Linked DNA regions of Drosophila melanogaster. The protein of the gene in region 2 interacts with the protein of the main gene of each other region in a pairwise test. Each region holds a gene or a part of one and is shown on either strand. Other genes may lie near its edges.

What was found. Proteins that work in one complex are often made in the same cells at the same time.
Region 1: the proteins of Prip (region 2) and CG17147 interact in a two-hybrid assay, tested with the Drosophila melanogaster proteins (one large-scale study listed by BioGRID).
Region 3: the proteins of Prip (region 2) and CG6149 interact in a two-hybrid assay, tested with the Drosophila melanogaster proteins (one large-scale study listed by BioGRID).

Annotation. Positions count from the first base shown.
Region 1 is NT_037436.4:20,220,322-20,226,464, reverse strand, and holds CG17147 (uncharacterized protein), read right to left. Parts: upstream 2,534-6,143; 5' UTR 2,443-2,533; coding exon 2,436-2,442; intron 2,179-2,435; coding exon 1,172-2,178; 3' UTR 1,141-1,171; downstream 1-1,140. Other genes in the region: CG17145 (uncharacterized protein), read right to left, coding at 3,548-4,545, 4,607-4,613.
Region 2 is NT_033778.4:11,432,957-11,444,080, reverse strand, and holds Prip (prip), read right to left. Parts: upstream 7,839-11,124; 5' UTR 7,659-7,838; intron 4,284-7,658; 5' UTR 4,249-4,283; coding exon 4,213-4,248; intron 4,112-4,212; coding exon 3,956-4,111; intron 3,895-3,955; coding exon 3,751-3,894; intron 3,014-3,750; coding exon 2,591-3,013; coding exon of another isoform or gene 2,543-2,590; exon of another isoform or gene 2,461-2,542; intron 2,432-2,460; coding exon 2,378-2,431; 3' UTR 2,341-2,377; coding exon of another isoform or gene 2,320-2,340; 3' UTR 2,209-2,319; intron 2,147-2,208; coding exon of another isoform or gene 2,111-2,146; 3' UTR 1,865-2,110; downstream 1-1,864.
Region 3 is NT_037436.4:11,433,555-11,438,850, forward strand, and holds CG6149 (uncharacterized protein), read right to left. Parts: upstream 1,923-5,296; 5' UTR 1,908-1,922; coding exon 1,203-1,907; 3' UTR 1,141-1,202; downstream 1-1,140.

The DNA.
Region 1 (6,143 bases), on a different chromosome or scaffold from region 2:
TCCGACATTTAAAAGTGCAAAATATAAAAATTGTTTATACCGTTCTGGCGGTGTGGCAGCCGCACAACGCCACCAACATCTCTTTACCGGGTACACATGGTCACTCTGCGCGCGCATTCGTTTTTTGAGCATCATACAACGCATTATTGGAAACATTAATTAATTCAATTTAAGCATTAAAAGACATCGTGGAGCTAAGTTGTATAAGTTATTTGAGGAATTATTATTAGGTACAACTTAAAGTACAACAACACGCAAGGCGCAGTGCTGCGACTTAAATTCTCTGTGCGGGTGTATTTATCGATAACAGCCGAAACCGAATCGGTAAAATTTTAATTACGAATGTAACGGTCGTTGATGATTTCAAAAATGCAACAACAAAGCGGCAACTTCGTATGGAAAACGCAAAACTAATTGAGTTTTCTAAAAAAAAACTGCGGATTTATTTTTTACTTCCCATTGTCCTACGCATACATATAAAAAAGTTCTTATTTTCCTGAGCATAAGCTCTCGTTTTATTGCAAATTAACTCAACTACGTTTTGTAGATAAACAAATAGAAACAGTTAACAAGACGGTACTATTAATCTTGGTATTTTCATGTGGATGTTGTTCTACATTTTGGTAACTGATCAACAGAACGATAAAACTAATTGATTTCTAAATTTAGAAAGATTAGAAATGTGTTGTCTAATTTTAATGCGTACCATACGGGCAATTACCTGAATTTTAAATGTGTGCTATTAATGGATTGCTCATAAAGCACATAGTATATGTTTGTATTGTACCCAAAAAAACTGAAATTTCAAGCCAAATCGTAAATATAATTGTTTTGAAAACAAAATAAAAACAAAAAAAAATGCTATAGTCGAAGTCCCCGATATTTTTGAATATTAGTAGAAATTAAAAACCAAACCATAATTTAAAAATTGTTCGAAAGTGTGGTCGTGACAGTTTTGGGTGGTTTGTGGAATATTGATCCTGATCAAGAATATATACTCCATATGGTCGAAAACGCTTCCCTCTGCTTGTTACATACTTCTCAACGAATCTAGTATACCCTTTTAACCTGTGTACCTTTCTAGTGTCTTTGCTTTTAACGGATATATTGATCGCCAATAAAAATCAACTACCTCTTTTTCTTTGCACTTTTAGTTAAATTTATTTTTTGTTTAGTCCCGGCCATCGCAACACTTATCGTAGATGATCTTGGAGGAGCACGCTTCCACTGTCTCGTCGAAGAAGTGATCCCAGTGGCAGGTTTCCTCCGTCACCTCCTTGTTGTCCACACACCGGATGTAGTTGTGACAGTTATTGCTGCTGCTGGTCACCAGCATCGTGCCGCGTCCGTCGCATCTGTTGTGGGTGCACACCACTGTGGTGGGATTGGCGCAGAGCTGCCGATCCTCGTCGAAGAAGTAGCCCTCGGGGCACTGCGTCCACAGTGGATCCAGGTCGGCGACGGGATAGAGGGCCTTGCATACGAAGTATCCACGGCAGGTGGCTTGGTCGGATTTGAATGTCATTGTTGTGCTGCTGGTGCAGACGTTCTCCTTCGAATGGGCGGTGCACTCCACCTTATTGGCTTCCACGCAATTGCCGCTCTCCACATCGAAATACTCGCGCTTCTTGGAGGTGACAGTGCAGCTCTTGGACGCATGGTTACCGGTCTTGTCACACTCATAGTAGTAGGCGCAGTCCTTCTCATTCCGGAACTTCGTATTTTCCGCCACCAGCTCGCAAATGTTGTTCACATCCACGCACATGGAGTCCACGCCGTACAGGCAGGACTGAGAGCGCTCATCGAAGTGCTGGCCTACGGGACACATCCCCGCCAGCGGTACGCCGTTCATGCAGTAGAAGTACTTGTGGCACTCGGTCGGATCGGCCACCCATTCGCCATCCAATCCCTCGCAGCGATTGCCGCAGTACTTGTTGCTGTTGGCCAACGTGTCCACGCAACTACCCTTGCTGGGATTGAAGGACTGGTTGGAGGGGCAGGTCAGGACGGTGCCGTTGCCATCGTAGCACTGAATGTACTGGTCGCAGGTGCCGGGCTTGCGAACCTTGGTCCCGTTCTTGAAAAGGCGACACAGCTCCTCGTATTCACCGACACTCGCCGAAAGAGCTACGGTAGCCAACAAGAGAACGCATCCGAGAAGCACTCCAAGTTTGAGGTCTACGAATGATATACATATGATCGCGAGATATTAGATTGATACAGCACACCTTTTGAAAAACATATAGATATGCTTAAAAACCTTTAAAGATATACCTATAAAAATGAATATGAATGAACAAAATATCTAGATTCTACATTTTAATTGTATCTTTAAAAACGCATGCAAGCTGTTACTTTTCACTAAAAATAAAGGCTGAATCAGGGTGTATAAGTAAATATCTATGACGGTAAATTAATGGGTTCATAAAACTCACTTAGCATGGCTGATTGCTGGGAAACTTTGGTTTAATTTGCAACAGAATAGATCGAGTGGTTTGATGTGGCCTCGGGAACCAATTACGCGCGACTAAATGGAGTTTCGTGAATGGAAGAATCTTATATTAACTAGGAGTCATTATCGTTGCCACTGCTTCTGCTGATACCAGCGCTTTATTGCCTCTCTTATGAGCAAATCTTATCAATGTTGTGCGAAAGGAGGTAAAACCCTTCAAGTAGGTCGTAATTGGTGATTGAAATCGATTGAAATCGAGACAGCTGACTGCAGATTCCTTAACGACTCACTTTCATAGTAAATTTTGGCAACTTCAGTCGAAAAGGAAAGTGCCACTAGTTAATGAGGTATACCCACGGTAGTTACGAGTCAAATGAACCTTCTGTTGGCCGTTAATTAATTGAACTATAAATATATTTATCGCTGATGCGATTAAACGGTCAGCAGTTATTGTGCCGTAAATATGACAACCTTTTAAAATATACTGCCTTGCTATTTCACTGTCGCTTTCGATAGGTTTTTGTTTGGAAAATCAGAACTTTTGAAAACATTGATTGTAACCAACGAATAGGACAGTGATTATCATTTATGGTCTCCTCGGTGAGGCCATGCTATTCCATCGTTACCACCTGCAAGAAAAGTTTCCATGATTGAGTGAATTCTTAAAATTCTATTTGTTCATTTACCTAGTTTTCAGCTGAATTGTTCCAGGAATATTAAACAAAATACAGGTGTTCTTCACTCACCCATCAGATATTATTTATTCGAATTTCGAACTAGAACTTGTTTAAGATTATTGTTCTTTTTGGTAGCTAATCTTAAGCATTAGAGCAACGAAAACAATCTACGTTCTTATAAAAACGGGTAAAAAAACAATATATCTCAACTACGATCCTCGAGTTACAGCAAAGATACTGGCTTACAGCAGAAACTTGTCATTGTGCATAAACACGAACTCGCTAGAGAGCCGCGTATCTATATCTATGACAATCCAGGTTCCACAGTCCCCGAAAGAATCCAAACTAGTGCACTTCATTACAACACTTCCTTAACCAAATATCACATTGCATTCTGAGCTTTATTGGAAATACATGCCTACGTCTTGCACGCGGTGTAGGTCTGGACACTTGGAGTGCAGGCGCCCTGCTGGTCGTCGAAGAAGTAGTTGCCGCAGGACCTCTCGCTCACGGTTACCCCGTCGGAGCAGCTCAGATAGTTGCGACAGCCCTTGGTGGCACTAACGACAAAACTAGCAGTCCGACCGTCGCAACGATCGTGGGAGCAATAGACCGAACTGGGGGTTATGCACATCTGGCTGCTCGCATCGAAGAATCTGTCCTGGGGACACTGGTTCCACACCGGATTGGGGTCCGGGGTGCCATCCTTCTGCTTGGCGCAGTAGAAGTAGCCGCGACAGGTGGCTTCATCCGCGACGAACTTGTTCTCGTAGGGCTTACTGGCCTTGCCGCAGACATCCGTGGGCAACGGATGGGCATCGCAGTCCACCAGAGCCTTGGACACACACTCGCCCGTGCTGGCCTGATAATAGGTTTTCGAGCATGTCTTGTCCTTCAGGACGCCCTTCTCACAGACGTGATACATATTGCAGCCCTGCAGATTGTCGAAGTTTACGCCGTTCTTAACAATGCTGCAGTACTCGAAGGTGCTGGTGGTGCAATCCGATTCGTGTTGGCGGGAGCACATCTGGGTGGTGGCATTGAAGTGCGTCTCCTGCGGACAGGTGCCGTACAAGGCCGTCTCCTCGTCCGCACAGTAATAGTAGCCGTAGCAGGACTTGGGGTCGGCCACGAATTGCTTGGCCCGATCCGCGCAGGATATCGAGCAGCTGGACGTGGAAGTGGACAGTGACTTAACGCATTTGCCCGTGTCCTTGTCGAAAAACGGAGTAGATCCCGTGCATGTACTGTAGTAGCTGACGGAATCGATGCACGTGATCGATTGACTGCAGGATTCGGGATCTCGGATCACCGTATTATTGGAGAACAAGCGGCAGATGTCCTCATTCCGGCCATTAACCACATCTAGGCCTTGAAGCAGTAGCACCAGTGCCACGCCCAGTATGGCACCAAATTCTGCAATTTGAAAAAACAATAAAGTTAGATTTACACCACTGGCAGTTTGCAATCCACTCACTTTCCATTACAGCTCAACTTTGGACAAAGCATAAACTCGTACTGAATCTGAACGTCGACCTGCGATTACTTATAAATATCAGAGGATAAGCAGCAATCACTATTTGCTGGCAAGATAAGCGGATTGGTTTTTGAGGGGTATTCAACTGGGTAAGATGGGTTAAATAAAGATGAATAGAAGTCATTTGTTAAAAGCTCGAAGATTACAATCAAATGTATTGATTTTGCTTAGGGATTTGCTATATAATATTTTTGAAAAGGTAAATGATAGAGCACAAAAAATGGGAATGTTTGATAAAATTGTATTTATAAATTTAATGTTTTTAAGGAGCATTCATAAAATTTTACTTCAGAAAAAATTAATTATATTTTTCGTTGCTAAAGTACTGGGTGATTTCTAGTCGTAGTGAATGGTGATTTTATAAACAAGTTGGAGATTGCCAATTGGCTACCGGTAAATTAAATAGGAAGTAGATAAGTTATCATTTCGGCCAAAAAATAGTAATAAAATGAAGAGCAAGATCAGCTGGTTTAATTCATAAGGCTTAGTGGGTTAATAGAGAGCTTCCCTTCTTTATTATAAAAAAAAAAACATTTTTAGTACTCTACCAATTAAATATAAAAAGTAAATAAGCACGTAGCTTGAACTATTTTTTAAGAATTTAAATTACTTCGAAAATGCCTTGTGATTTGGAAAAAGTATCGAGTAAAGTGTTTAAATGTCATTGCATACTTATGGGCGAATTTCTAAACGGACAAAACTCGCTTTTAGGCGAAACAATAAAATAAGGCGGATAGATTTAAAATAGTTTAACGGAAAATAAAACTGACTAAAAAAATGGGGTTTTTGTTATTAAACATTAACATCAATTATTTTTATAGATTATATAGATAGATAATAAAATTTCAAAATACTTGCATATAATTGTACTATTTAATTATGCATACAAATAAATAAATATATATAACTCATAATTTCATAATTTCATAGTGCGATTTATTTATTTTGTATTTCAGTTCAAACGGTTCTTTTGGACAAGTTATTAATATAAACATTTGTAGTTCGGTAATTTTTCCCCAGAACCTGATAACCTTCAGAGGAAAGTCTAGTCAAGTCAAGTCAAGAGTCGCAGTGCGATTCAAATTGAGATATCTAACTAATGTCGTGTTGCTGAAATGAGTGCCGAGATACCAGGGAAACACCACTGAGTGATCAATAAGAGCCGTGACACTTTCCCGCCTCCTCGAGCTTCTTCGAAATTAAAAAACAATTATAGACAAAGAGGGTTCGCAATCAGCAGCTGATAATCCAAATTCCGGCGCGGCTGTCAACGTATAAAAATATATATAAACTATATATACATACTAAACTAAGTATGTATGGTGTCCGCTGGCCAAGAATCGATTTGAGCTTATAAGCCAGTCCATTTTGGCCGGGTCCGCTAGTTTCACTTTCGTCGTCCAACGCCTTCGAACCGCCTTCAAGCTAACCCAACAACTTCGGAGGGATGCAAGGTGCGTGGTTTACCCCAGACCTT
Region 2 (11,124 bases):
GAGTCGCACAACCTCTAATAAGTGTTCTAGGTCAATGGGTGTGAGTGTTTTGGTTCCATTGGGCAGATGAGTTCAAGTCATGGCTGCTGCTGATGTCAATGGTTTCTTGGCACCCGGGAATTGACCGGCTTTTCGAATGCTAACCATCGGTGTCATATCTTTCGGCTTCCACATTTCACATTTCACACGACGCTCTGCATTTTACACATTTTTTGTTTCGGTTTGGCTGAATTTATTGTGGCATTTTTTGCATTGAACTTTGGCAAAGTGTCAAAATGCTGCGAGGGCGGGCGACCAGAAAAGCGAGCGGAGCGGCAGACAAAACTATTTATATTTATATGTATGCCACTCACAGCTAAGAATATTCTTTAAGCGAGTGAAAAGTAAACTGCCTAATGGATACCTATTACAAATAATGCTGTTTAAATTTGTACATAGCAAGATGGTCATTTAGATATAAGCCTGCCGGAAGGATATCTACTTAATGTATTTAAATTTATTGCTGCAGCAAACATACAGTATATTCGATTGCTAAAATTCATATCTTTAAAAGACATATTTAGAGTCTGTTTTTAACTTGAACTGCAAACTAATATACCCCTTTGATATATACCCGGTATATCGATCTTTTCAGGTTAAGGTTTTGGCTTCGCACCACCCAATTTCGAGAATAAAGTCTTGCCAATATGGAAGCCGCTAAAGCAAAAATGCACCACTGCATCAAAGATATTAGAGATACATATTATATTGGTCTTCGACTTGTGTGTGGCATGCATGCAAGTGGGTCAAATTATGGTTCCCGTGCAACAAGTGTGCGCAATGCCAACGTTTTAGCGATGATTATAGCTCCCGATCACATTTCCTGGCCATTTATCAAGCTTTAATGGCTATAACGAGCTAATTGCATAGTGGGTCAAGTGCAGAGCAGGGCTTCGAATGGCATATTTTTAGACCGTTTAACTACTTGCCTTTAGTCCCAGTTACTACTGGCCAACCGAATTGGAGTCCTCGTTCATGTTTGACTGCCTGGTTTTCGTTGGCCCAGACACACGCGAGTATTGATTTTGTGCGACTCTGTGTTTACACGACGCTGCAGCCTCTCCACTTTTCCCAGCACTTTTCACTTTTCCTTTCCTTTCGTTTCACACTTTTCCGGGTCGGCGGTTGGGCCGTTGTTTCATAAGATGGTCCCGATTCTCGGAATCGATTGGCCAGCTTAACTCGGCCAACTTGTGTTCTTAGCCTTAACGAGGTCTACTGCAATTTGCATTCGACCCTCGCCGTGGTCTCGGTCGCTTTTCCGTCGATTGGTGACTTTTCTCCTTCACTGCTTTTCTATTGATTTGGCCCACAACACTTTAGTGCATCGCTTTGCCTTGATTTTCATCTGGCCTTTCACTTAACTGTGCACACTTGCCAATTGTTTAATTCACTAATTCGAATAATTTATCAATTGTTGAACAGTAAGTTGTGGCCAATTAGTGTCGATAGACGTTTTTTATTTGTTAATTTTGTAATTTATTTAGCAGGTCACACGCAACTACATGGCCAACGACGGGGACGACTGCGGATTTTCCGATTTTCCCTTAACGCTTTTTGACAGTTTTGGCGCATGGCGCTTTTGCCGTATGCTGCCACGGAGCTTTTCCGCATACCGAGTGTTGGGAAACTCGGCCGGAAAAGCTTGCAGCATAAGCTTTTCATTGCGCTCTTTTTAAAGATGCAAAAACCAATGAAAATTTTAGCTAGCTATATTTTATTTCGAATTTTATTGAATTGCTTAAATTTTTTCATGGGTATAGCAATTTTATAGTAATATTTTATTTTATATTAAGATACAAAATCGATAAACACCAGTTTGTTTCAGTTAATGTTTTCCACTTTATTGTGAGCGCATGAGAGTACAAGTAATTTTGTTGTAGATTGCATTTTAGGGCAGCTTACACATTAAATATTAGTTAGTTAAAAATGAATTTTGCATGAATAAATACATAAATACACACGAACGTAGAAGAACACGACATGTTTATGTTAGACACTGAAATGAATGGATTAAACACACAGATTTCATCTGTATCCCTAGATTCGAGTCGCAAAGATTTCTTTATATCTAGGCGTAGTCACGGGCTCCCTCCAGTTTGCGCATCTGCAAGTAAATAAATTGCAATAATACAAAATTTAGTTAGCTAATTAAACAGGGATGCAAACCGATCGAAATGGCGGACGGGTTCGGTTGATAGGATTGAAGAGTTTCTAAACCAATCGTATTCGGTTCACAAAAGCGGTTTAGATTAGTTTTGCGTGCAGGTCGTAATATCTTTAGTATACGAATATCTGCTGCTAAAGCGATAAAACATAACACATTTAATAGTTATAGTTAAGCGAGATATGTATATGCCAAATGGTTCGGGTTGTGGTTCGGTTTGCATCCCTGAAATCAAGTAATTCGGGAGTATTTACAATGCAAGTGTGAGTGAGTGTTTGTGTGTGTGATGGGTGTGTGTGTGTGTGTGTGTGTGTAATGGGTGGGCGGAATCACGGATCAGTAGAAGGACTCCTCGCTCCAGGCGCTTATCAACCTGACTCTCACCTCGCGTTCATCGGCGTGCGTTCGGTACTTCTCGGATGCCTCGTTAACCTTTGGCACGGGCTTCGCCTCCAGGACCTGGGTGTAGAGCAGGGCGGCAGCCACGCCCCCCAGCACAGGTCCCACCCAGTATACCCAATGCGACGCCCAGATGTCGGTGGCAAAGGCGGTGCCCACGGTGCGAGCGGGATTCATGCTGGCCCCGGTGTAGCGGATGGTGCCCAAGTGACCCAGGGTCACCGCCATTCCGATGGCCAAGGGCGCCGTGTAGCGGGAATCGGGCTTGTGGGGATCACAGGCCCCAAAGACGACGAGCACCAGCAGGAGTCCCAGGAAGAACTCGATTCCCAGGCCCTGCAGCTCGGTGATATTGGGCGCCAGAGAGGTGTGACCCAGGCCATTGTAATAGTCCTGATCGATGAGAATCTAATGTGTTGGTATAAAAAAAATATTTATATATAGATAGATAGATAGATTAGATTAGATATCTTAATCTTAAAAATAAATATAGCTCTTAGTTTTGTTGAGTATGTAAAAATACTTTAAACTATTAGATTTTAAGTTGATTCATTGAACTGGTGATTTCTACTAAATCATTTGTTTTTTAAAATGTGTAGTTTTTAATACAAAATAAAACCGAAAAATACGAGTATTTAATCAAAGTACTTTCTTGACATTGGCGTACCCGTATCATTTATCCACTCAACGAAAGAAAGTAATGGTCAAAACACAAGGCATTTTTAACCGCAACCGGATGTGAGGCAATCACAATAATAAACTTAATAACATGTATGTACATATGTGTCTCAGTGTGTTATTTTAAGAAAGCGAGATAAGCTCAAAAGCATTGCAAACAATCATCTTACAACGAGTAAGTATTTATATTTATTATTATTTATACATTTTTTTAATTGACTACATTTTGGATTTGATTTTGAAATCTGGCAGTTCTGATTGAGACACTTACAAGCCAAATGACTTTTCTTTGGCAATGCTGTTTTGTAGATATACCATAGAAGTAAAGATAGGTTAGATTTTTTTGTCATAATGACGACCTCTATATAATTGATGATGATGATATAAGAAATAGTGGAATCTGATGAGTATTTTGTTTTAATAATTTCACTCAGATGTATGTAATAATTTATGTGTGTAATGCCTACCTTAACCGCTGCAGTTCCGGCAATTGCACCCAAGCACTGGAAAACCACATAGAAAAAGGCTCTGATCAAGCTAATTCGTCCTGCGACCAACATTCCAGCGGTAACGGCAGGATTCACATGACCACCACTCAAGTGGCCCACAATCTGCAAGGATATATAGTTGAATATGGGTATGAATAATGTCGTAGATTAACGAGCCACCCACCGTGATGGCCATGAAGATAGCCAGGCCAAAAGCCAAGGCCTTGAAGGTGCCATCCTCAATTTGGGTGCATGCGCCGCAGGCAAAGAAATTGAGGATCAAATTGCCAAGGAATTCTCCAATCAAGGCCTGCCACAATCGCAGCTCCTTGGATTTGAGCTAGAAGACAAATTAATAAGTAAAGTAGCATTATTTAATGATATTTTTAATAACTGACTGGTATTTCGATTAAACTTTGTCTTTGTATGATTTGCACTCACCTCATTGAGACCCAGTGAGTATTCGAATTTTCCCATCTTCTTCGCTTCACTTTTCAACTAAAACTGACGGACTGAAAAAAAAGACCAACGGAAATATCAGTGAACGATGTCTGGTAGTTAATGCAAATGGCAATCCAAAATGCAAATGGAAATGTGTTTGAAAATGGAAGTGGACAATTGTCCGACTTCAGCAGGTATTTAGCCACTTTTATCACTCATTTAAGGTGCGATATTGTTTTGGCCTTTGGTGACAGTTTTGACAATCTGCATTTCCGCTGCAATTTCCGTCACGATGCCTAATTGGCCGACACTTCTGTCTGGTCTTCAATTGGAAAAGTCTAGGGGTTTTCATTTAACTCAAGGCTTGTGTCCCAAAAATTCTTAATCTACGTTTATTTATTAAATGCTCAACTTTAGCACTTGTCATTAAAAGTGGGTAACTGGAGGCAGCCAGTGGGTAACTGGGCAATCCTCCTCTCAACTCGACGACTGCCAGCTTATCAGCAATTGCAGCTGCATGTGAGAATATATATAAAACAAACAAAGTGTATAATATTTAATTGGCAACGGGTCATAAAAACGATGTAAATATTTGAGCACAACGCCGTCAGGAGTGAACAGAACTCGCAATTGAGTTTTTAACCGGCAGTTTTTGTAGCCGCGGGGGGATTAGGCCTGGTTTTTTTTTAGAGTGTTCTAGAGTGGCATCAGTGGAAAGCGTTTGCTTTGCTCTTCTTATTTGGCGCAACGCGGTCACGAACAGGCCCAAAAATGGGCTAAGACTTGTTGGCCATGCCCCCACACATCAAGAACATCGAGAGCTTTAAAAATACATACGAGTATGTATGTATAAAATAATTTATATTGCATATATCATTTCATTTGGTAATCAATCAGTGAGCGCTCAATGTTAATTCCCATTTTCTATGCTCGCAAAGCATTCAAGTTGTTCATCACTTCGAGTATTTACTTTTCTAATGCAATCTTAATGAATTTCGTGTTTCATTTGCGTCATCTACGAGCATGAGCCCCATATCGATATCAGCCAATAGACTCAAGTGCTCTGATATGAAAAAGCGAGTTCTATTCCTTAATTGAGGTGCAGGGGGTGCGCTGGATGATCAAATAGTAATTGAGTTGACTTAAGGTTGGGCCCACGGATAAGTGGAATGCCTTGCCATAGAGCGAAAATCTACCCACACAACAATTTCCATTGACTGGAGGTTTGAGGAAAACGGGGTAAAAACCTGAGAGTTTCAATATTTGTCATCGACCGTTAATCATGCATTGTGAAAACGGATTCAACAATTTGAGCATGTAATTATAATCTTTATTAGTTCCTATGAAATGCTTTAATTGGCCAGCTACTAACTGACATTCCGTAGTGCGGATTCACAGGTGCTGATTATCACTTTGGTTGCAGCTAATGAGAATGGTTAAATGGTGTATGTACAACCACAAGGTGTTGGGTCCTCGAATGAAAAATCTAAGCAATTAATCGGCTCTGATTAAAGTTTGCTTTGCGATTATTTCGGGCCGCAATTTATGGATGATAAGCTTGTTTTATAATTGGAAACCCAATATGCCCCTCACCAATTCTGGAATTTTCAATAGCGCGCCAACAAATGTGGCTAATTGCCAGTGTACAAGTGGGTCCGTGCCAATTCGCATAATATCCGAACAATAAAGTAAAAGTTTGCTCAACAAATTAGCACAAACGGCGAGAACAAAATCCACATAATTCACACATATTTTCGCACACACAACAAAGTCGAATGCATTTCAACGCATTTCGTTCTGATTTTCGTCATTCGAGGCATTTTTGTGACTTTCGAAACGTGTATGAACAAGGGGTTCATGAACTTGAACTCTCGCCGAATTGAACCGAGGGGCGGCTAAAAATGTGTTCCAATAAAATTTAATTATATGCAAATATTGAAGAATGTCGTTAAGAAAAATCGCCGCATACGCAGACATTCGTCATTAATTTAAAAACATGCCGATAACACGGGTATAAATCTCCCGTTTCTGAAGCTGATGAGCTAATATCTTTGGCTTTGCTTTCTTGATGTATTTTTATGGACTCTAAAAGCGAGTATACAAATTATCTTGACCACTTTTCAAGTGTTTTCGGTACTATTGCCGTTTTGAGTAGCATTTATTGGCATCAAAGTAATTACCAATATGGCAGTCACATGATCTCTAACTATTTTAGTGTTTTTTGAAAAAGTTAAGGGACAACAATGTAATGCAGACTATTAAAGCTTAGGAACTAGCTGTTAACTTTGCCTGAAATCAGGGAACTGGACTTCATATTCATTGTTTTTGAACTATTGTATCTGGCCTAGCTCCAATTGCGTTCGTCGCCTGATGGCATTTGGCGATATAGACGTTTGCAATTGTTTGCCGCAACTTTGTCACTTAAAAAGCCATAAAACTTACTTAAGCCCTAAATTTGTATGCAACGCCGAACGTGGGAGGGGCAGGAGCGATAAAAGTGGGGGGAAACCACACACACACAGAGGCAATTGCAAAGTTAATAGCCCAAACTCCCACACGTGTTCGGGGCCACAGTGAAGCCAGGCTTCTGATGGACATTCTTCACTTAAATTACCAAATCAGAGACCAGAAAATTGCTGCGGTCAACCCATCAATCACAAGTGTCAGATATGAAGCGAACTGAATGCCCCAAGCTCTGTAAGACCCATTACCATATCATCGGATCATGGCATTGCCGTACCTAAATAACAATTAGCCAATGAACACAATACCAAAACATATAGAAATCTTAAAAGCTTAAACAGATCGCACGACCGCATCGTTTCACGCAACGCTGGTTTCAAAATGAAAAGCACAATGAAATGTCCCAAATGTATGAATTTTCAAATACACATCTTTTGGCAAGAATAACATTTTATATTCGCGGCTTTTAATTACTCAGAATCGTGCTGGCGGTCAAAAGTAAAAATTGTACATAAATTGTTATATTTTTACGATTGACATGCGGGGGCGGTCTCACAAAATTCCAAAAATCATAACAAGAGGAAAACAGATCAAAGTAGATTTGATAAATGGCGAAGTAAGGGGTTAGAAAAAAATGCAAAACGGTATTACAGCATTAGTTTCGGTGCACAGGGAGAAACTTTAGTTACTTTGAATTATACTTGCTTAACTTAAATTATTAAATTTGTCACTATTTAGCTATATAAGCAATTACATTTCATTAGTTTATATTAAACTCAAAAACTAAATATAAATAAATCGATTACAAGCTTATAAATACACCATTAACAGCATAATATTGCAGGATAACTGATTTGATTAGATCTAAACTTAATTAAAAACATTAATAATACACATATGTTGAAATATTCTCTTTTTGATATGCCCATTTAAAGTTTATGTACTTTATGCATTTTCAAGATCACTTTCAATTAGAAGTTTACCTTGTTTTGCTATTAGCTCACTTTGGCACCTTTGCCACCTGCTTACGAACTCGACTTAACGGCAACAACAACAGCTAACACCTTAACTTGCACTTAACAAATATTTAATTCAATTCGGCAGGAATTGTTAGCTCACTCGAGGAGTGATCCGCGCACTTTGACTCGACGACAAAAACTGCGCGACCGCATTTGGCAGCAAAAAGCCAAAGGCACCAAAAACGATGGCGCAGAAAGAGCGCGATTTATAAAGAGAGAGGGGCAGAGAGATAAATTCATGCGAAGAGCGCACATTTATATTAATTAAATTATAAAAAACTAAATAATGTAATTATGCGTATTAACTAAATGTTTATATAAATGTGTAACTAATTATTAAAAACAAATTAGTTTTTATGAGCTTTTATGTTTACATTCTATACGCTTTAATATAAGCTTTATGCGTAAGTATAAGAAAGTTAATCAGAGAACTTATTCGTTTATAGATATATATATCAAATTCTTCATCGATTTAATTTAATTGCACTATCCAAAGTTTTGAAAGGGAATGAATTCGAAATTGTTTAGCTGCGCGGGCGCACCGCTTAAAAACACAACATGCCAGGCACCGAAACTCACCACACCCCACACGCGTCAGCCAAGACACAAACCATGCAAAAATATTAAATTGAAAATTCCGACCAATCAGTAAATTTATGGACTGCAAATAGTTATTTAGGGGTAATATTTACACCCACCCATCATTCACGTCAGACAGTGACGCTTGCAGAAAAGTTTCCGTTGCTTTTCGGTGTTCTTATCAGAGAAATCGGCCCAGAAATCATGTCTTCACAAACAATTTCTTTAATTAATTTAGTGTACTCCAAGCAGAGAATACCGAACTTTTCCATGACATTTTGACGTAAAATCAAATTCACTTTATCTTTATGGGTGTTGTCTTCGAAGTATATTTGCCATTTTAAATTAATAACCGCAAAATCGCAGATCACAAATCCAAGCACACTTTTATGAGGCCCTCATAAATGCGTATAATCACAATTTTATGACTGTGAGCTTGGTGTAAAATAAAGTGTAATCGTATAAGTCAAATATAAGAGTAGAAATGATCGAGATAGTACACCGAAAACAACGTAGGCACACTTTGTATGTATAGTTTGCTTACATTATGGTCTGAAACTGTTCGACCTTTATATATAACATTATTTTTATTATTATAAACTATTTTATTTTATTTTAATTTTATTTTCATTATTATCATAATCATAAAATGGCTAATTATTAGGGTAAATTCGCCAAAAAGTGTGTAATATTTAAAATTATATTGTGTGTAGACGAGTCTGAAAAGGTCATTCCTGGTTTTAAAGTTAATGTCACGTCTTTAGACTAGCGAATTTGGCTTAGATTAAAAATACCACTTAGCTTTATCTTAAGGTTTCCTGATTAGAAACATTATAGTATAGGCTATGTGTACTTCACTATTAGTTATAGATAATAACGGGTTTAATACTGATAACAAGTTAAATAAGAATAAGGCGGTTGAATGCAACACGTGCTGATACGGGTACAAAAATACTAATACACTTCACTCCGAATCGGATTGATAGAAACCTCCTAGTTAATTGTAATGATCATTCGCATTCTAAACTGACAAGCGTTGTAGTTATTTATTTATAGAGTTTCTCTTTTATTCAACATATTATTTTCTTATGTTACATTTCTTAAATCATAGTTACTGAAATTTTATAGCTTAACAAAGAATAGTTAATTATGTAAATTTTCGGATGATTAATTAGTGCGTTTATCGAAAACGACGACATTTTGTGATTCAACTACATGTGCTCAGCCCAGTTTTATCAAAAATATGCCTGGGAGAAACAAACAAGTATAAATCATATACGAAACTTCCCTTAAATCATGACACACAAAGTACTTAGCGTCGTCAAGGATCTTGTCTGATTTACATGGATTAAAAAGAATACGTCTTTGTTCGGACAAAAAGGAAAATCGAGTACACATTTCAGTTGAATGGAAATATATGAACCAGTGGAGTCCTTCTGACACTTGACTCTTGACACCTGGGCAACGCCCACTTTTCAGTCAGGACCAACACAATAGTCCTGCGATGACCTTGGCCCGACATTGCGCCCATTTGCTTGGGCTTTTTGCTTATTTTTTCCGCTGGCATGGAGCCCCAATGTGAAATATGGGAAAGCAAAGTAATTGTGTCCTGACTGGCAAAATAATAAATTAGAATTGTCCGGTCATAGCGCCCCCGAGTGGGAAGCCATTAATTAAATCAGACATTGCTGGAATTTAAAGCTGGCAGTCGCAAAGTGACGTGATCTGGGGGAATGGGCTTTTTGCAAAGGGATTATTTCAATTTAATTAGTTTAAAAAACGTTGTTTCATTCGTGGTCTAGTAGATTCAGCATACGCATACATATATACTGATAAATCGAAGTGCATTTTCGGATGAGCTACTTCCGCAGCTATAAAATAAGTTGCTGATATGCCAGATCTAGATTAAATGCTTAAAAACTTGTATTTCATCGCTGCTTGAATTTCAATTGAAGTTTTCTCTTTTATTTTAGACATTTAGCGGAAGCTTACATTTTTTTCGCAGCCAATGTGCTATTTCAGTTTTGTTATATAGAATTTTCGAGTCAAGTGTGCTTTGATTACCGCTTAAAGGCAAAAAACCTCGGAACATCTGCGATGGCTTATCAGCATCGGATATAAGCAAATTTTCACCAATTGCCATTTTTTATGTGCCCATTACCGTGCCCCATCTTAATGGGCTCTCAATATATAACACGTACGCCATCAGTCAACAGAACAAAAAAGGGGAAAAAATGAAACTTAACAAATTGAAAACAAAACAAATCGTTCTTGATGTATTTTTATATAAAACAAAAGCCAGTGCGAGAACAAAAACCGAAGAAGTTGGGTAAACACAAATGGCAAATTGTACAAGTACAAGTGCTTGTGTCAATCAATGCTGGAGTGCTGCGAACTTTTCGATTTCGATGGATGGGATGGAGCCTTTTATTTCTGCTTAATTACCTGCAATTTTTGGCCCCGGCACGCGCTTCCACATCGCTCATACGCAGCGTGTACCGCGAGCATGCTACAGGAAGTGAGTATACGCCTCGTGTGCCAGAATCAACCTTAACATTTGGCTGCGAGAATGTGAGCTAGAGCTAGATCTGCGATCCATTGGCAGGCAGAATTCGGCTGCGATGCCCGCATAAGATCTAAGATACGTTTCTACGAAAGCTCGTCGAAATATTTCCCACGGCGCATGCGTGAAGACAACTCGAAGACAACAACGACAACAACATCAAGCAGAGGTTAGTCATGGCTGCAAAAATATGATGGAGTCTCGAGATCGCAGTGGAGATGGAGATGGAGATGTAGATGACGATGGAGATGTAGATGACGATGGAGGAGAGGCCAGGCACGGCGACAA
Region 3 (5,296 bases), on a different chromosome or scaffold from region 2:
TAATTGGCTCCCGAATTTTGTTAAAATATATACACATACTATTAGTCACCATTTTGGCCATCATTTTCGGCGGATTTTTTTTTTTAGCTGTCGTTGACCTTGGTTTGTATGCATCAACGATCTTCAAACGTGCTACTCCCGAAAATTGATCAAACAATTCAACAGCTGTTCGCGTGTGCTAATCGAAATTTAACGGCTTGTCAACAATGCGGCTTCTGTTCGGACTCAGTTAATATTATTGTATAAAGGTTTATAACCTTTTTAATAAATTCGTAGTCCAAATAACCTTTTCATATGTTGCTGGTCTAGAATTGAATCATCAAAATGATCTGCGCTTTAGGTAGAGATTACCAAAGTTCCAATCAAACGCTTATTCATTAAGTGAATTTCTAGTTGATTTTTGTTGAAGTAACATCTATATTAACATTTTTAAGTCTAATTTCATGCATTTTTACGATTCAGGCAACACTGTTTTAACAAGCAAGTAAGAAAGCAATAATTTAGTTATTTGCTAATAATGGCATACAACCGGAAGAATAGAAATGTTTACAACCAGACCGCCTTAAGAAAACACAAATGAGTGATTGACAGAAATGGGCTGTTACCCATCTGCCTTTGCAGCAAACAATGAAAAACTGTGCCTTTCTTCTCTGAGTTTCGGCTGTCCGGAGATCACTTTCGAAATATTGGCACAAGTGGTGTCCTGAAATATTCGAAATCGGAGCCCACATCCTAGCCAAACCGGAACCTCCCGCTGAAAGGATTGAGTAAAACAATGGATCGGTTTTCCAGAATCAGCTGGCAGCTGTAATTTCCGCACGTGACTATCATATAGTTGAATGAGAATATGTTCGAATCCATATGGATTCCGCTTCTTAGCAGCTGGTTTTTCGATGATAAACGCATTTGAAAACCAAAATAATATATTCAGAGCGATTTCCGGTTCCGTTATGTGTGTTGAAAAATTAGATGATTTCGACTTTTATATTGCAATTGATCTTTGTACCGGAAACATGTTTTATTACTTTCGAATTGAATTTTATGGTTTCTACAAAAATGTATATTAGTTTTATTACTGCGCCTTTTGTACGATTTGAATAGTTGCATAGCTTGACTTCCACAGTAGTCATATTTAATTTAATAAGAAGCATATCCTATATACTTTATTTATGTTCCTATCCTTAAACTATCAAATGTGCATTTCAATGGGAATCGATCCATCTGTGGACACCAGTAGATCGCTGCCACAAGACGTTATTAACTCGCTCGCCGAAGAGATAGTAAATGAATCCGAGGACCATGATAAGGACAAAGAAAATTACTCTCAGCTGCCAGGCGATGCCGCCCAGAAAGGGATACACCCAGATGTCGGTCCGGAACCAAACGATATGTATCCACACCAGATATCCCAACATGAAGGCACCCAGTCCAGTGAATCCTCGACTGCGTTTCGGATATTGATGTCGTGTAATACCCAACTCCACAAAGGCATAGATTACGACGAAGGTGTGCATGGTGTGGTTCAGCCAATTGGGATAGACCAGGTCCAAAAGCACCGGATATATCACTTCCCGATCGATGGCGAAGAGTGTCCAAAAGGTGAGACCCACCGTAAGGGCCAGAGGTACGGCAAAGGTGGCGAAGATGTAGTCTCGCAGCTTCCTTAGAGATCTCAATCGGAGGAGGTCAAAGGTCAGCGCCAGTGTATAGTACCCCAACTGCAAAAGGCCGCACAGAAACGTCATGTACTTAAACTTGCCACCAATCGGTGGCTCCAGGCGCAGGGTCACCGCCACTTGTGGCAACTGGGCATACCGACAGTCAAAGTAAATGGCATAGCCCAGGTGAACGGTGGCCGACAGGTGGAAAAACAGGCGAGCCCTGTTCGACAAATTAAGTCGCTCCATTTCCGGATAGATACTAACGCATTTGTCGATGGAGCTATGCTAATGTGGTGCAAATCGATCCGGCATAGGGAAATAGCCTATGACCGAAACGGATTCGCTAGAATAGTGATGCAAAATAAGCTCTAATTTTTACCAAGTTGGGTGAGAAAGTTTAAATAGGTTCCATTGAAACAAATAAATAACAATTTCAACCATGTTTCTAGTTTTGTAATCTACTCAAACAACTATTTGAAGGAAACACATAAATACCGTATCTAAAACTTATAGATAAATGTGAGTTTGGATATACAACGTATCAATTTCATCGTTAGTTTAATTATTGACCCACTGCGGAACCGAAAGGTAAAAGGCGATGAGTATTGACTCAAATGGAAATGGGGAGTTTGCCGTTAAAACTACAGGGGTGCGACCTTGGACACAGCTGATTCGTTTGGTCAGAGGTCCTTCAATTTCAGGACCAGATGTTGCGATGAAAATGAAGAGGAAGGGTCCACCAACCGCAGGCAATCAAATGGATGTGTGTTCCGTAAATATTTGTTTGTTTTCCTTTGTCGGCCGTGCAGATCTCAGTGGATAATTAGTCAGGCCCATCACCACCATATGTCCGACGAAAACCATTCGTAAATAGTTAAATTACCTTTTTGCCAAATTCGATTCAGCCATCTGACGGCGAAAGCGAGAATAGGTAAAACTATTTGTTTAACAGTGACCTGATAATTATTAGTTATATTTAACAAATATTAGTAAATAATTATAAATATACATTATATCTCGGAATACTGAATCAACTAGGAAGCCCAAAATTATATCTTATTAGCAGTGCAAAATAAAAGTAAAAATTTCAAGGACTTTTAGCTGGGTTTTTTTTAGTTTTTTAATAAATCCAGCTCACTTATCGATAAAAACTAGCTCTTAAGTAAGTCGACATCTGTTTGATTAGTAAGTCTTTGCTGTTCGAATTTGAGTCTATTAGTTAAATAGTGGTCTGTTACTATTTATAAATTCAATTTAAGCGTCTGTCCATGGTGATAACCAAATGGATTTAAAAACGAAAGGAGTCGCAAAAACTCAGTGCCGTGACGCAAATTTGGATATTCGAATGCCTGCGAAATATACATATGTATATACTATATAAGAACGATGTGTGCCCATACAATTATGATCCGCACTGCCCAGACTAATTGGAGCAATGTTGTTAATTTTTTAAAACCGTTGTCGGACACGTTTCGCTACGGTCATTGCGACAGAGTTATTTAAATATAGGCAGACATTTCTGGCCGATATTTTCGCACATAAAAACGGGTGTACAATATTTGGCAGTCAAATAAATGTATCAATCCCTTTAGGACCGAATGTTGCAGACTGTTTAGTTAGCACTTGTATGAACTCTGAGTTTGTAGGTGTATTGAGTGTAATTACACTATAAATAATCTATTGAGTTTTATCACTTTGTTTAATATAAGAATAAGAAAACCATGTTTAAATCAACTTAAGTTGGTTAATTAATTTTACAGACACATTTTTATTTTCGTATAAAAAACACACTATATATATTTCAAGGACGTATACATACTCCACATATTCCACTCTAGATTTTAAAGGTTATCAAGCATGTTCTTAGAAACTTTCAAAGGGAATACCTAAAGAAATTGTTAAAGTTCCTTATTTTGTTTCCCCTCACAGTTTCAGTTTCGTACATAATTAATGTTGGATCATCTTTTCACTGTTCACAAGCTTTGTAAACACTAAATCCAAAGCATTTGCCGCCTCTATTGAAATTTCCAAAGCCAGCCAAAAACTGCCGCATAATATATGTACGTACATTTAGCTCAGCGACTTTGAGATTCAAATTCTGGAAGCAAAGTTCACCCAACCCTTTTCTGGTCGCCAAGAATTTTCTCTAATGACTTAAACGCGGTAACCACTAAAACATTTACAGCGCATACGGTCCTGTTGTTCACTTCTCACCACCAAGGTAAAAACCACGATGCCCCATAACAACCCAACCACCCATTTTCCATTCCCCTTCGGCACTTAAATGTAAAGAGTCGCATTTTTGCGCAAATTTTCCCCGAAACCGCAAGTAGAAAACTCATTAGACGCAAAACGTTTTGGCGGAAAAGTAGGCTGGGAAATTACACGATGGCTGCTATGCCATCGGTTGTGGGAGCAACTTGGCTGATCCACTTGTATGGCCAAACACACTTATGCTTGAGAAAATGTACATATATGTCGAATATAAAGGATGATTAATATTTAAACTACAAATAAAAGAAAGAAAGATGTGACAAAACTTACTTCCACTCGTTTAGTGTCTGCAGCAGATAACTAAAATATAACAAACATGTGCATATGTTCATTATAATACTTTTCATACAATCATCGGAAAATATACATTTTATTGGATAACTTGATGTGTTTTTTGAATTTTCCTCTTCGTTTACCTTTTCCTCATGTTTCATAAAAACCCCACCTACGATTTTTGTTGTGTGTGTATTTTGCAAATTTGTATCTTTTAAGAGAGCTCACGGTAATATTTGAATTGCGTGAACCTGTGTTTGCTTTTCAGTTGTATGATGTTGGGTTTTGATCGGGAAGGCAAATGCTTTCCAGACTGTGGGATTTGCCGACTACATAGACACGTGTGTTGCCAAATAAATCCGCCATAAGCCCTTTTTCCTTGTTTCTGTTTTCTTTTTTTTATTTTTTAGCGAATTCGACTTATCCTTTTTTGCATTCGAGCTCGCATACTTAAATTTCGGTTGGAAATATTTGAATTTCGGTTTTTTTCCCCTCGGCACATGTCGCCTAATTCCGCAGTCAGGACATCATTTTGTAGTAACATTCATGCAAATTATGTGCATACGCATTTGTGGCATGTAAATAAATCCCCAATATTCAATGCCTCCTATTGGTGAAAAGCTTACGTAAATTTTATTTACTCTAAAAGGAAGGCACTTTAATAATCCAGCATGGAACAACAGGATATTATTAAAATTAAAGCTCGGCATAATAAATACATAAAAAATGTTGGAAATTTTCACTATAACTATTGCATACATTTTTGTATTTACTTTCAGACATTTAATAAACATTCGATGTCTCAAGGCAAATTGGCATGCAGCTTAAATTAGTTTGGCACTGAGAATCATCGCCGTCCAAGGAGCTTTCCAGCAGCCCTTCAAGGACCTGGCCAGAAGCCGGCTACAGGATGCAGCTCGCAAAGGTCAGCCCAAGGACAAACAACCAGCAAGATGCACAAAAATCCAGCTTTCCTATTAAAATCGATATTTAGTGCCGCACGCAGTGATGCCAGAAACGAGAAGGATACAAGGAAAATCCTACAAAGGGACATGCTCTGAATCGGGGATAATAGCCTAGCTATTTTC